Linked DNA regions of Canis lupus familiaris. The protein of the gene in region 2 binds, or shares a complex with, the protein of the main gene of each other region. Links are inferred from orthologs where the notes say so. Each region holds a gene or a part of one and is shown on either strand. Other genes may lie near its edges.

Region 1 (7,639 bases), about 21 Mb from region 2:
GGGAAGCGAGGGAAAGAGGGGGAGGTGGGGAGGGCAGAAAGATGGGCAGGTCTTTATGTTAATACATGCTTTTATTTCTCTTGGTCAGGATGTCTGTTCTGTGGAGCTGCTGGATCTCTGCGTCGGTGAGTATTTACCTTTCTAAGAAACTACCCAACTCTTTCCCAACGTGTTGGCTCTATTCTTCATTTCTGCCGGCAGTGTGAGATTTCCAATCGCTCCACCTCGCTGCTGACACCTGAGATGGTCAGTCTTTTTAAGACAGTCATTCCAGTGGGTGTGTAGTGGTATTTCATTGTGGTTTAAATCCATATTTCCCTAATGGCTGATGATGTTGAGTGCCTTTTCACACGCTTGTTGGCCACTCAGGTCTCTTTTGTGACGCATCCGTTCAAAACGTGGGGCCATTTACAAAATTGGTTCTCTGGCTTTTCCAAGAACCTCCTCTGGCTGCTGGGGGGAGGATGGACTATAGGGGGCAGAAGTAGAAGCAGGGAGAGTAGGGAGGAGCTGGAGCTTCCACAGACAAGCTTGTCACAGGCGCAACACATTGCCTGCCTTCTGGCAACGTCAGCTGGGGCCTTGCCCAACTCTTGGGCTGCGGCCAGGAGAGATTGAGACACTTTGCGGATCTCATGGGAGGGTGAAGCAGCCCTACTTCCTGGAGCCTGGGCTGTGTGAGGGGTGGCTCCCAGTCAGCTGGGTGCCCTCCATCTCAGCCTTCTTTCACCCAATGGCTAATCCGCCCAGAGACGGTCCAGTCCGACCAGGCCAGGCCAACATTCTGTGGTCTGCACCAGTATAGTCATACCAGTTGCTAAAATATTTAAATACTTCATTTCTGGTTGGTAAAGAGCCTCTATCCCCCCCCCACAGATACCTGCATTCCCTTGGGATACCTCAGACTTCCTCACATCACGGCAATGGCAATTAAAAGGGGGGGGGGGCTCCAGGTCTCAGACCCAGCCGTTTGGTTGCAGCTCCCTGATTGGTTGGTGCACCAGTGTGCCGGCTATGAGACTGAACTTGGGGACAGTTCAGGCCTGGCTGGAGTCGTCGGGAGGACCAGATTGGGAGGCTGAGTCTGAGGGATAGAGGGAGGATTTTTATCAAGGTGAGCCCAGAACTGGAGACTTTTAGTACTAATAACAATAACAGTAATGATGAGGGTAGTGATTCATATTCACTGAGCATATACAGAGACATCACTCTGATAGACCTCACAGAATCTTCACATAAACTGGCCCTTGCTCCGCTCCCTGCCCCCCCACAGTGTCAGTGTGCTCCCTACCCCCCCAGCACCTGAGTCAGATCAAGACCCTCCAGCCTCAGAGCTTCCTCTGATCTCTGACTGCCCCGTGGCTCACTCGGCTTCAGCCACCTTGAGGCCTGGTGTGCTGCCAGTGGGGCTTCCAGGGCCTGGTCTCTCTGTGCTCACTGCAGACCCGGTGGTGGTAGTGGAGGGGTTGTTGGTTCTTTAGCAACTGGACTCGGCCAGGCCTGGGCGATGGTGGCTGTTACCAGCCTGTGCTACCTCCGAATGGGCCCTGACTCTCCTCTGGCTTCCAAATCCGCCCACCACCAAGCGCCACTCAGAGTCTGTCCCATGACCAGCATCCAGTTTCCCCTTTTCTCCCCTAAGACCAGGCCCTGGTAGCTGTGGAGTGTGACGCCTGGATGGGGGAGGAGGGCTTCCTGCCACTGGCCCATCCCCCAGTACCCTAACCTCAGGTTCCTCCTAGCCAGCCCCAGCTCAGGCTGGCAGTGGGGGGCGGCGGCACGACTAGAGGTCCCTGTCTCCTCCTGGGTGCCCTCCTTCTGTCCTCACTTCCAGCTACTTCCTCATTTGGTGGTCACCACGTTGTCTCCCATTTGCCTCACCCCAAACCCCCGATCCCTGTGTCTGTACTGGGTTTTATCAGCGTCACTGTCTATCCTTCTCTCTCTTTCTCCTTCCCAATCTTTCATCTTGGTTCTTTTTTCTTTCCCTCTAAGGATCAAATATCTGTCCTTGGGTCCTGGGTTTCATTATCACCTTTATTGGCTGTGTCACCTTGCCAAGTGTCTTTTTTTTTTTTTTTAAGACTTTGTTTATTTATTCATGAGAGACACAGAGAGAGGCAGAGACACAGGCAGAGGCAGAGTTCTGCGGAACTTGATCCCAGAACCACTGCTCAACCACTGAGCCAAAGGCAGATGCTCAACCACTGAGCCACCCCGGTGCCCCTGGGCAATGATAAGAGCAACCATCTCAGATGGGTGTGGGAGTTGAAAGAGTTAACACCGTAGGACAGAATGCCTGCAGCTTATTAGGACCCATATCCCGATGGCTCTCTGCAATATCCTATAAATATCACAAAGTTCTGATTATCAAATAATTATAGCTGGTACTTATAAAAGGCTAACGAGTGTTGGACCCTGTTCTGGAAACATTAATTCACAAGCCCCTGCAAAATAGGTACTAATTTACTCTTCCATTTTACAGGTAAGGGAGCTGAGGCCCAGAGAGGTTGAATGACTTGTTTAAGCCAGGAAGAGGAAAAGCTGGCTTCAGTCATAGCCACTGACTGTCCTGTTGCACTGATGGCTGACCCCCGGTCAGGGGTGGATTGGTGCATGTAGCCTTTTTCTTTTTACGTCCAGTCCTTAGAGGCTATAGCGTGGCCCCCACGGTGTCTCGGCCTGATTCTTCCTGGCATTATCTGTCTCCGTCCCTCCTCCTGTATTGTCCCCTCCTCCCTTCTGCCACCGCCCACCTCAGACTTCCTCCTTCACTTGGTTGGACGCTACACCACATCCCACCGGCCCCTGGACTCTGGCGTCCAGCAGCGTCGCCTGTGTCATGGGGGTCCTTGGACCTTCCAACAGGCTCCTGTTCCTGCCTCTCCTTCTGAGCATGGGTGGTGAGTTGGGGGCTTCTACAGCTGCCTCCCGAGTCCCTGGGTTCAGCTTGGGGCAGAGCGGGGTACAGGATAGAAAGAGAACCAAAAGGGAGGTGGGGGAAAGCAGATCCCTGTCCCTCAAAAGTTATGTCTGTCTCCCAGAGCCAGAGCCCCCAAGATTTGGCCTCTGGTAGAAGCAAGGGGGAAGGGACTGTCCGGGTGTCGCAATAGGACAAGTTGGGATAGAAATAGCACAGTCCAGTAGCCTTGATGCTGGCCCACAGGTCCCACCAGACACAAAATTCCACTCATTTCCTAGCTCTCAGGATCCACCCTCCCCACCTTCTGTGCCCACCCTCCTGTCACAGCCCCATGACTCAATTTACCTTCTTTTTCTCCCCTCAGGTTTCAGCCCTATCCAGGCACAGGACGGTAGGCCTAGACTCTGCAGTCTCCCTCCCTACCTCCCGAAGATCTCCCCACCTCTATCTGTTCCCCAATCTCTCTGAACCTTCCCCTGCTGACACTTCCTCCCAATTCCCAACTTCCACTGACCACCCCAAACCTTTGGGCCACATTCTCAGGATGCAACTGCCCCGTGGTGAGTCCCGGTGTGCTGGCAGGGATCGTGCTGGGGGACCTGGTGCTGACCCTCCTCATTGCCTTGGCCGTGTACTCCTTGGGCCGAATGTTTCCTCGGGGACGAGGGTCTGTGGAAGGTGAGTGGGGCTGGCGAGGGATAGCCTGGGACTTCCTGAGGGAGGAGGAAGCTCCCAAGTCACAACCATCCGAAGTGGGTGATGGAGGGGCTGATTTTGCATCAGCAAAATGGTCCCAGTTCACCACCTGAACTGTCTCTGCACTCTGCTCTACTCCCCATCCCCCAGCAGTGACCAGGAAACAGCGCATCACTGAGACAGAGTCGCCTTATCAGGTGAGAAAACCAGCTTCTCTTCCTCACATGTCCCTCCTACCCTGTAGGTGTCTGTCTTAAATACTTTCCCAGTCCCTCTAGAACCTAGACCCTAAAGCCACTTTCTGAGCAACATTGCCAACCTCAAAGATTAACGGGGCATCTGTCCAAAACGGCTTTCAATGATCAATCATGGCCTTATGCTCAGCTTACAATGTGTGAGAAAACATGGGGTTTTATGTTTGCAAGGGCACATAGAGGCCTTTGCCAGAAGGCAAGCACTGAAGTGTTCGGGACAGGATGATTTCTGGGACGAGCTCTTAAAAGAGCAGAGAACAGATTTCAGCCCCAATTCGGTAACTCTGAAGAGAGGAGTTTTAGACTTTTTGGAAGGAAGGATCCTGTATCCCTTTGAGAAGCTGATGAAAGCTAGAGACTCCTCAGAAAAACTCACACAAAAATTTACAAAACTGTGCATGTGATCGAGGGGTGGTACAAGTATCTTGAAACCCTTCTTAAGGACTACCATGCAGGTGTGCCTAGGGTGGCTCAGTCCATTAAGCATCTGGCTCTTGATTTTGGCTCACGTCGTGGTCTCAGGGTTGTGGAATGTCTGGCTCCCTGCTCAGTGGGGAGTCTGCTTGGAACTCTCTCTCTCCCTCTCCTTCTGCCCCTCCCCCTCTCCCCCTGCTTGTGCTCTCTCTCTTTCCAAAATAAATAAATCTTTTAAAAAAAAATTCTCCTCTTGCCTCCATCCTCACATGTGCATGCTCTCTCTCTCTCTCTAAAAAAGAAAAAAAAAGGGATCCCTGGGTGGCGCAGCGGTTTGGCGCCTGCCTTTGGCCCGGGGCGCGATCCTGGAGACCCGGGATCGAATCCCACGTTGGGCTCCCGGTGCATGGAGCCTGCTTCTCCCTCTGTCTATGTCTCTGCCTCTCTCTCTCTCTCTCTGTGACTATCATAAATAAAAAAAAAAAATGCCACCATGCAGACAGAGGCACCTTTCCATCTCTTGCCTCTCTGTCAGTGCCCTTCTACACTTTGGGGAGTCATGGGCTCCTGTGCGAAGCTAAGGGAAGCCAAACAGCCCCCTTCCCATAAAGATGTATACCCAGGCCAGTCATTCGTGTAGGATTTCAGGGATTCAGCTTGAGGGCTGCCTCTTGGGGCCATAGGTTTCCCCCCTCCCTGCCCCGCCAAATATGAGCCATGTTCTGTGAAGTCTCTTACTTACTTGCAGCCAACTTTGCTTTGTCTCACCTGGGGATTAAAAAGTCTCTTTGTAAAGTGTAAGCATCTTGAGTTTGGCCTTGTGAGGTCCAGGAAAATGAGGAAGCTTTTCGGTTATTGGGGGCAGTGACATGTTAGGGCAAAGCATGATTCTCATTTACTCAACCTTTGGTGGGATTTATTGAGCACCTACACTGCAACAGAGTTTACATCCTAGTTGGGGAGATAGACAAATGAACAGTTGAGATAATTTGGGGAGGTACCATGAAGAAATAAAGCTGATATGACAGTGACGACAGTGGGGGCAGGGTGTGGGTGAGGGGGGGAGAAATGTGATGACAAAATCAATAAATGCTTCTCTGAGAAAGTGACATGAGCTGCGACTTGAAGGGGGAGAAGGAACCATCCACGGGAATATCTAGGGAACCAGGGTTCCAGGCAGAGAGAACAGTATGTGCAAAGGCCCTGAGGCTGGGGCATGATGATGAGGTGGAGGAGAAAGGGAAACACTAAATGTACTTGATTAAAATCCAGATCTCTTCCGTGGCTGCGAGGTTGAAGAAGCTGCTAGGAGCCTTATAGGCCACTGGGAGAAGGCTGAATTTTGTTTTAAGTTTATTCAGTGGACCTCATCCACTAATGACTCCCACCGTGTCCCTCCATTAGGAGCTCCAAGGTCAGAGGTCAGATGTCTATAGTGACCTCAACACACAGAGGCCGTATTACAAATGAGCCTAAACCACGGCAGTCAACATCCTGATGCCTGGATCCACTCATTCCTGACACCTACCCTGCATCCTATTCCTACTTCCACCAAGATAAAGATCCACAGAGTGCCCTCTCTGAGAGGTCAGATTTCTCTCCATCACTGCCCCCAAATAAACGTGGCACATAAAAGATCTGTCGAGTCATCCCAGATCTTTCAGCTGAGGGGGGCTTGGATATGTGGGACTTGGGGCGGGGGGGGGGGGTCATTTACCCAGAAACAGATAAGTGGGAGGGAGGCTTTGGGGACCCTGGGGTTCTTTGAGGAAGAATTAGAACCAGAGGTATTTTCAATGGCTTTATTTCACCCCAAAGTGGGGAATGTGTTTCTGTGCTGCCACACACAACACAGGAAGCAGAGGGTCAGAAGTCCAAGGTCTCACTTACACGGGGGTCAGCCCCTGCCAGGCATGTTGATGTAGATTTTGTCATGTTCTGGAGGTGGGGGAGAGAAAGCATGAGGCCTGACCACCTACCACCCACCCACATCTCCACCTTCCTGGGGACCCCCTGCCTCAGGGGTTTCCTCTGGAGTTCCCCTCCAGTCACCGCCCCCAGGGTTTCCCCAGCATCTCCTCTAGGGCTTCCCTTGGGGGGCCCCTCCCTGGGGGCCCCTTCCCTAGGGACACTTCTCCCTCCAGGCCCTACCCTGTCTCTGTCCTCACCTTGGGTGGGCCTGTGGCGTGGGCAAGCACACACAAACACTGCTGCAATGATTAGCAGCGACACCACCGCATGGGCGGCCATGAGGCCTGCCAGCAGGGGCAGACAGACAGGCTCACATCCGGAACAGGAACCTGGAGGGTGGGGCCCAGGGGAGAAGGCAGTTGAGGAAGGTTCCAGACCCTCAGGGCTACACTTTGGACACTGGGAGCAGATGAAGTCCCTGGCGGGTGTGTGTGTGTGTGTGTCTGTCTGAGATTCCCCAAGGGTGACTTGGGGGATGAAAGAGGAGGTGGGTGGGGGCCCCCAGCACAGAGAGACATACGAGGTGCTTTGGGCATAGCGGGGACTCCCTACGAAGGCTAGGGGGTAGCCGAGTCCCTGGGGCTTCAATCTGGTGATGTGGGCAGTGAGATGGCGACCCAGAGAGGACCCCAGATCCTCGGGGCTCTGATTTGGTGAGAGGTGAGCTGGTGAGCTAGAGAGCCACTGGGGCTGTTCCAGGACCCTCAGGCCACCCTGTAGGGATGGAAGCAGTACCTGAAGTGCCATGGCAGAGGGCAAGGCGTGCTCATTTCTCACCTGGGGTCACCAGAGCTGCAATCACTGTGAAAAGAGAGGGAAAGTGGATTAGCAGGGGAGAGGCAGTTTCCAAAACAGGGTGCAGGGAAAAGGTGGTACCCTGAGAAGTAACCTCCGTTTGGGAGAGAGCAAATGAGAAAGAGCCCAGATGGGTAGGGGAGCTCCCAGACACACACACAGAGATAGAAAATCAGCAGTAGAGACAGAGACAGGCCTGGCAGCGAGAAGGGGAGATGAACAGGCAACTACCCCAGACTCAGCTTCTCTCCCCCAAAGAACCAGGTCCTGAAGCTAAAACGGATCTCCAGAAAGGAGAGGGTACTGAGAGGACCTGCTCTCAGCACTCCTCCCTTCAGATGCCACCCAAGCCACCCCTCTCATAAGTCCTCTGCCTGCCAGGCCCCATAACCACTGACTTCACCTGGGAGCAGGAGCAGGATGTCACCGGAAGGGGCCATGCTAGGCTGAGGCTAGAAGGGGTCTGGCAAGAGGCTTTGGTCCAGAGAAGTCCTGAGGAACAGTTGGGGAGTAAAGAAGCAGCAATAGCGGATGTCACTCTGCTGGTGGCAAGGCCACCTGCTTCCTGTGTGAAGGTGTGGGAGGG
Region 2 (7,635 bases):
AGCAAAGGCAAATTGTCTCCGAAAGAAAACGTCTCTTCCTAGACCTCAATGAAGGTCCATGAATGGTTTTTCCGAAGTGGCGAGAGGCTCACAGTGAGTGCAGCCAAGTTTACAAGGAAGTTTGACACCATGAGCCAGAACCAGTAGAAATAAACAAGGCCAACAGACAGGAGGTTTCAGATGTCAATGAACACAGCAACCCCAGGAAATAGAGTTACTGTTCTTTTTTTTTTTTTTTTAAGATTTTCTTTATTTATTCATGAGAGACACAGGGAGAGAGGCAGAGACACAGGCAGGGGGATAAGCAGGCTCCCTGTGGGGAGCCCGATGTGGGACTTGATCCTGGGACTCCAAGATCACACCGTGGGCCGAAGGCAGACGCTTCACCACTGAGGCACCCAGGCACCCCTAGAGTTACTATTCTTAAAGAAAAAAAAAAAAAGAATCTGCAAGGAACAGGAGACTTTAAAAAGTAGCAGTGTGGGGAGTCCCAGAGACCATCAGAGTACAGGGTTTCATGGGGGGGGGGGGGCTCCAGGACTCAGACAATAATGACAGCTAAGATTTACTGAGTGAAGGGTGAACAGCAAAGCCATTGGAGGGAGAAGACCATTGGGAGAAGGAAGAAACGCTGGCAGAAATGTATTGACTTTTTTTTTTTTTAATTTTTATTTTGAAGTTGTCTTTTTGAAAGTTTTTTTTTTCTAGGTATTTGTGTAATGACTTTAACATTATGTTTTTTTTTCCAAAATCATCATAAGCATGCTCAGTCACTTAAATGCCCCAAAGGTGAGAGGGACCACACAGCAGTGCAGGAAGGCATTGTGTAGGGACTGATCTAGAACCTCATCGCCATTGGCTGCCCCTAGGGAAACACGTCATCTTCATCATCTTCATTAACACCAGGTTTGCTCTTCTCATGCAGATTCAAAACAAATCCCATTTGTCCATTTCCAATGATATTACCCACTCTGGAAACCTCCTGTGTACATGTTTTGCAGCTTCTGTTTAGAGAATGCTGGCTATTTCATTGGCTGTTTGAAGCAAAATTTAAGTCCAATGCTTATCAAATAGAGCCATAATAAAAATCCCTCACTTGACTTAAAAATGAATAGAAGAGAATGTCCAGGTGGGAAAGACTGAGGGGCCGCGATGAGTGTCCATACTCCCTATCACCTCGTATTTCTCCATGGCAATTATAATCTAACACGCTATATATTTCACTTTGAATTTTGGGGCTCAGGGCACAGCCTTTTAAAACACTTACTGCTACCTGTTACCAAGAATCTGAGGATCTGGGCACTGTTTTATGGGAAAATTTTAAAGAGGGCTCCCTGATAGAAAAACGAGGAGAGGGGATAGGGCATTTTAGAAATATTTTTTAGAACTACAATAAATTTAAAAAAAAACTACAGTAAATATATTTTTTAAAGATGTTATTTATTTATTCATGAGAGAGGCAGAGACACAGGCAAAGAGAGGGAGAAGCAGGCTCCCCGGGGGACATGATCCCAGGAATACGGGATCAGGACCTGAGCCAAAGGCAGACATTCCACACTGAGCCACCCAGGTGCCCCAATACTACGGTAAATATTAAACTTAATTTATTTAGGTCCAGGCATAAGAACCGGTTGTGGGCTGAAGGGAGCAAGTTGAGCTCACTGTCAAGAACCTTGAAATCACCAGAGCCCTCAGAAAACACGGCGTGGGACAAGCCGGGCCCTTCCAGCAGAGCGCAGTGAAGTCCGATGTGCACCTAGAGCCTAACTCTAAAGGCAGGGTGCAGAGGGCCTTGGGGTCACAGGTCAGCAGGAGCGGCTTGGGTTGGTGACCAGGAGGGAGTCCGCCCCCCAGTGAGCAAGAGTCTCTTCCCACGCCAGGGCCCTGCGCGATGGGCGCGCCCTTTTAGCGCTGCCAGTGGTTCAAAGGACCAGGTGGCAGGTTGGCAAGGCGGCCAGAGGTTCCTGTTGCTGTCAGGGCCCCTTGTGTGTGGATGAAGACCCCTGGGGTGGGCCTTCTGGGCCTGGGAGGCAGGGCGCAGGGGGCTAGGGGCGCTCGGAGCCTGTCCTGGGCGCACGGGCAGCAGGCACGGCGTGGGGTCCCTGCAGGCACTCCGGGTGGGCCCGGGGCGCTGGGAGCACAGGGGCACGGGGGCGCACCGCAGGCTGGCGGGCGGGTGGGTGGGCCCCGGGCGCGGGGGCGCTGGGGGCACTCGGGCGGGCGCGGGGTCACTGGGGCGCACCGGCGGGCGGGGTAGGCGGGTCCGGGGCGCGGGGGCGCTGGGGGCACTGGGGCGGGCGCGGGGTCGCTGGGGCGCACGGGCGGGCGGGGAGAGGCGGGGGGGGGCGGGCCCCCGGCGCTGGGGCGCGGCGGCCGGGAGGAAGTGCGGGGCCTGCCCGGCGCGTTAAGGAAGTTGCCCAAAATGAGGAAGCGCCTCGCGCTGGCCGGCTGAGAAGACTCCAGCGGCGGGAGGAGCGAGGAGCAGCGGGCGGTCCCGTGCTGCGCCCCGAGCCGTCCGCGCCCGCGCCCCGCGCCCCGCGCCCCGCCCTCGGCTCACCTGGCACAGGTAGGTGTGGCGCGCGCCCTGGGCCGGGCAGCCGGGACGCGGAGCCCCGGGCAGCCGGGAGCAGGGGAAGGCGGGCGGGGCGACGCGCCTGTCGCCCCCCTGCCCGCCCCGAGTCCGGGTCTGTGCGGGGCCCTCGGCGGGGCAGGTGCGCTCAGGGCCTCGGGAGGGACAGGCTGATCGAGTCTCTGGAATCAGGACGGGTAGGTCCTCCACCGAGCACTCCCGGGGTCGGTGGGGTCGGGCCTGCCGGGCACGCGGGGCGGGGCGCCAGTGGGGCGGGCGGGGGGGGGGTGCGGAAGCCGCAGGTGCCGGCGGCGGGCGCGGATCCGGGGCGCAGGAGGCTCACCTTGTCCTTTGGCCATTTTATCGCTGCCCTGGGAAATTCCACCTTGTTGATGTGGGTGACTCCAGGTGCCAGTGCTCCTGGGCCTGCGGAGGGTTCAGCGCTTGCACGCCTTTTCCTACAGAAAGAGCAGTTGTGTAGAAACAAGAAACTTCCCGGGCCACCCCTAAAATGGAGCAGGATCGCTCGTTGAGACACGTTTTCACGGTACAGTGACAGTAAGTGCCGCCGAGAGCCCAGTGTGGTGCGATGCCGATGCCGGGTCAGTTGGAGTTGGGCAGCATAGCTCCCAAAGCATCAGCCCGCCTACCTAGCTGTACAGAGGCGATTCAGCTTTGGGTTTATTCGAATGTTCCAGAACTAGGAAGACCTAGTCTGGAGAAGTCACGGTTTGAGGCTTTTGATGTTGGAGACAGTGTTGCAGGTTATTTTCATCCGTTTGACTGAATGACCAAAGATTCCGTTGATCCCTAGCAACCCTTGAGCAGCAGGTGTTCTTTCCTTAAGCCCTGGAAGCGCTGTCAGTGGGTAGTTTAAAGGTTGGAGATGCCCCACATCGGAATTTTCTAGTTAAAAAAGAGTTCATCTTGTGATGACTTGGAATTCTTGGAAGGAATGGAAATGATTCTAGCATCTGAAGCCTTTTTTTTTTTTTTTTTTCAGTAAGAAGAAATTCATTGCCACTAGGAAGGCAGCATTTTAATTTCACGGAACTAAATTCATTGATCTGCTCTCTCCCCCCCCCCCCGCCCCCCCAAAAAAAAGTCCCTATTGTGCATGAATATATTTATCCTTGAGCTAACACCTTTAGAAAGGTGTAGAGTACTAGGGGTTTTAAACGAGAAATCTTCTCCATTAAAATTTTTTATCAAGTCATTTTGTTCCATCTCCATTATACTTTTGTTTTGTTACGTTTAGAGGAGATTTTGTAGTAAAATAGAAATGGATTTCTAGTCTCTGTATGTGGAGCGCTTTCATAGGTAGGATTTTATAAATAGGCTTAGTAACTAGAATGTTTTTAATGTTTTAAGCTAGGATAAAAAAATGAGGCGTATACTTTAGGTCTTAACCTCTGCTAAGGGAAGAACTTGACAAATAATCTTATTGTTAGATCTGTATTTAAGAAATAACTCACTTTCACCTTCTTTAGGCTCATATTTAATTTAATATCCTAAGCGCAAGTCTGACCTCTCAGTTTTATTTATTTTCCTTTTTAAAAAAATTTCTCTGCTTTTAAACCAAAGACTCCCTAGTACAGTATCTACTTTATGCAGCACATAGCACGTCCACAATTATTTTCCAAAACCCATGTGCTAAGATATGTTTTGGAATCCTGGATTTTTCACAATTTAGAGTTCAAATTGGGAAGCTAAATTTCAGCATTGAGAAAAACATTTCTCAGAATTTAGAGAGGTACGTGTCCACACTGTCGCCGTGTATTAGAGACTCTGGTACATGCTGGGCGGCCTCCCATACTCCCACCCGTTCATATGTCTGCACGGACACTGTGACTTGTCGCATTTAGTGGAATAAACACACTATAAATAGCTGTGTGTCCGTTTAGGGCAGATGTCACTGAGTGAGTTCCCTAAAACTTACCTCAAAACCTTATTTCTCAGGGGTTTTACGCATCAGGACGTTTGGAACCATATGAGACTCCTAGGGCCTTTTGTTTACTTTTGGAAATAAATCGCATTTCTCCTGTCCAGTAACTATACCTTCTGTGATTAAATGGGCAAATTGCCCCTTTTCAGGGAGCAAGACCTCATTGAAATTTCAATGATAACCATCACAATACAGATCCAAGTGAGAATAAATGATGTTATTTTTTAAGATTTTATTTATTTATTCACCAGAGACAGAGAGAGGGGCATGTGGGACTCCATCCCAGGACCCCAGGGTCATGCCCTGGGCCAAAGGCAGACGCTCCACCCCTGAGCCACCAGGGGCCCCAAGATGGATGATTTTAGAGCAAGAATGCAGGGAGGTTACTGCCATCCTTTGTGCCCACAGTATGTTTTTGGAAGAAGTAGTATTTCCTGTTCCCCCCACGGCAGGCTCGCCGTCTCTGTGTTATCTGTTCCTGAGGAATGGAAGAGCACTTTTTTACAATCCGAGCTAATTCTTCCTTTATCCTCACCCTGCCCCCTTGCTCCCCATTTGCAAAGTTTTAACATCTTCCATTGCTGGATCATTTTGGGTGCAAATGAGTAGAGAAAAAATTAGCCCTTGGGAGAGGACTTTTTTTAATGTTCATGCACTGAACTTTTTTTTTTTTTTTTTCTTTTAAAGCAACTGAAATCAAAAGGCAAAGTCCTTAGAAGAGCCTGGAATTAAATTGTCTGAATTAACTGTGTCTCATCTCTTGCTCTTCCACCTTGCGTTTCAATAAGTTGGTTCTTTTTCACTTGGAAAAAAAACAGGTTTTTGTTTTGCTTTTGACTAGGCAAAGATGAGTACACAAGGAGACAGAGCGGATTTGAAAGGAGAAGTTCATTCATTCATTCTGGTGTTCCATTAGCAGGCACGTTTCCTATGAGCTTATAGTTTCATCTGACAAAAAAACAAATTAGCTTGCATTCTTTGAAACCTGTTTGTCTTTATAAATGAATTATGTTAAGTTTTGCCCTTTGGATCTTGAAAAGTTGAATTAGCATCGTAAGTGCAGTCACATCTAGTTGAGGCCAACAAGACCAGTCCAGGGAAGAGTATTAGGGCTAACGAATCAGAAGTGGCTCGCTCTGCATCTGTCCATTTCTGGAAACCACCAGAAATGTTTTTTGGAGGCTGCCAGAGGCTGATGGTAGGAGGAGGAAGTGAGTATTGAGGGAGTATCAGTTAACACCCTGATTACTCAGGAGAGGGGGCCCTGACAGCTTTTATGATGGCTGGTATCTGGTGAGTAGTATCCCCTGTCCCGGGGTGCCTCCCTCTGACACAGGGGGTGCTTGGACCCTGGAGCTGAGGGGCCCTGGAAGGGTCACCACCTCCCAAGGCTGTGCTGGAGCACTGTAGGGGGCCCAGGGCCAGAGGGTTCTGGGCTTCTCCCCGATTGGCCCACGGTATGGGAGGCGTTGATCCCAGTGCAGGCTGAGCTGGCAGGAGGGTCACAAGGCCAGCGGCAGGGTAATGGAGGCGCAGGCCCAGGGACGGTGAGGACGATGAGTCGGGGGGAGTGAGGAAGGATGGCTGAGGGCCCAGTTTTGGGAAAAGCCACAACTTAGATATGGCCTGTTTATCTATGCTCTGTGTGGCTACAGAAAGCTTTGGAATTTCCAGCATGTGACCATCTGCTTTCCCACTACAGTTGTTTGCCTTAATTGATAAATCATCATTCCAATTTGGTCAGTCTGATAATTTCTTAGGGTGGGCTGTTTCTGGGATGCCTGGGTGGCTCAGTGGTTGAGCACCCACCTTCAGCTCAGGTCATGATCCCAAGGTCCTGGGATCGAGTCCCACATCGGGCTCCCCGCATGGAGCCTGCTTCTCCCTCTGCCTGTGTCTCCACCTCTCTCTCTGTGTATGTCTCATGAATAAAGAAATAAAATCTTAAAAAGAAAAAGACTGTTTCTGCTGACTTGTCATGGGGATGTTTTGCTGTGGCCAGAGTTAAATTTTACTTTTGCGAAATTCTAATTTATGCCAATACCTTCCCACCCTCTACAGCTGTTCCCCAAAGTGATCTTTTGACCCTTATAGCTATTTCTTCTAGAATTCTCCACCTTATTTCCTGATGATAGGCTCATTTGTTCTTGTTTTTGATGTATCGGTTTTAGACAGTGTCTGTCAACTTCCTGCTGTGAGAAGGGAGCCGGTGGCAGTGCCAGGCCACCGCCTCCACCCACCACAGTCCTGCTGTAACCCCCGGGGATGAGAAGCCCATTTGGTGTTTATGGTGATCGTAGTCACTGCGAAGGCAACGTGTGCAATATAGTTTCAGTGCGTTTCCTGGAGCCCTCTGTCACTTTTCCCGGGTAAACTCTTACTTTTGTGTCTTCTTGGTGACTCTCTGCCTGCGACAATGGTCTCCCCAGCTCTGCGACACAAAACTAACCTCCCCACTGGAGTCTGATCACTGCTCTGGTCTTCACTACACACACGTTCATGAGGGAAACCTGTCCTGTCCCGGGGAGACGGCTGACTGTCCACATTGTTTGCAAAGTGCCTGTCAGACCTCTGCTCCACCCTGTGGCGTCTTCACATACCGCTCACCAACCGCATTCACGTGCAGTTGAGCCATTAGAAATCCGCAGTAATAATTGTCGAAAATATTTCCTCAAAACTTTATATTTCTAGGATGTGTATGTACGGATGATCTGTATGTTCTAGATCATACATAGGAATTCCAGCGTGGGAATTTTAAATCAATCTCAGCCCCGCTTCTGTATTTGCTCTGACATGGGTGTTTTCTTATCCAATCGATGGGAATGTATAATTTCCCCGGGCACGGGGAGGGAGCCCGCAGTGCTTTTTTTTTCAGATGCTCTGGCCTGGATCCCTTGGTCCTGGAGCAGGTGCTGTTTGATTTTAAATGCTATCCCCAGAGAAGCTTTCCTTGCCCCAGTCACAAAATGCTGGACCAGATGAGGTTTCATGAGCAGATAGTGGCTGTGGGTGTGGAGGTGCAGGGAGTCCCTTGCAGGTGACTTGCAGGGGAGAGCACCTGTCAGCACACTCACACCTCCATGGCCATGGGTTGCATTGTCCTTGGGGCATCTGGGGGACC

The links.
Region 1: the proteins of SYK (region 2) and TYROBP are in contact, whole or in part, in a crystal structure (PDB 7Q5W), measured with the Homo sapiens proteins. The link is inferred for Canis lupus familiaris from reciprocal best matches to the Homo sapiens genes SYK and TYROBP. Residues at the interface, in NP_001167638.1 of Homo sapiens: Arg22, Arg42, Asn46, His62, His63, Tyr64, Thr65, Ile76, Ala77, Gly78, Gly79, His92, Asp97, Gly98, Leu99, Arg175, Arg195, Arg197, Lys212, Leu214, His215, Tyr216, Arg217, Ile228, Pro229, Glu230, Gly231, Lys232, His243, Lys247; in NP_003323.1 of Homo sapiens: Pro90, Tyr91, Gln92, Glu93, Leu94, Gln95, Arg98, Ser99, Asp100, Val101, Tyr102, Ser103, Asp104, Leu105, Asn106.

What each region holds. Positions count from the first base shown.
Region 1 is NC_049222.1:117,600,562-117,608,200, forward strand, and holds TYROBP (TYRO protein tyrosine kinase-binding protein precursor), read left to right. Parts: upstream 1-2,759; 5' UTR 2,760-2,842; coding exon 2,843-2,903; intron 2,904-3,287; coding exon 3,288-3,314; intron 3,315-3,466; coding exon 3,467-3,601; intron 3,602-3,769; coding exon 3,770-3,816; intron 3,817-5,691; coding exon 5,692-5,757; 3' UTR 5,758-5,924; downstream 5,925-7,639. Other genes in the region: HCST (hematopoietic cell signal transducer), read right to left, coding at 6,185-6,225, 6,456-6,587, 7,036-7,059, 7,457-7,493. UniProt on the Homo sapiens protein: Adapter protein which non-covalently associates with activating receptors found on the surface of a variety of immune cells to mediate signaling and cell activation following ligand binding by the receptors.
Region 2 is NC_049222.1:96,693,520-96,701,154, reverse strand, and holds the start of SYK (tyrosine-protein kinase SYK), read left to right. Parts: upstream 1-2,444; 5' UTR 2,445-2,566; intron 2,567-2,602; exon of another isoform or gene 2,603-2,766; intron 2,767-2,919; exon of another isoform or gene 2,920-3,127; intron 3,128-7,635. UniProt on the Homo sapiens protein: Non-receptor tyrosine kinase which mediates signal transduction downstream of a variety of transmembrane receptors including classical immunoreceptors like the B-cell receptor (BCR).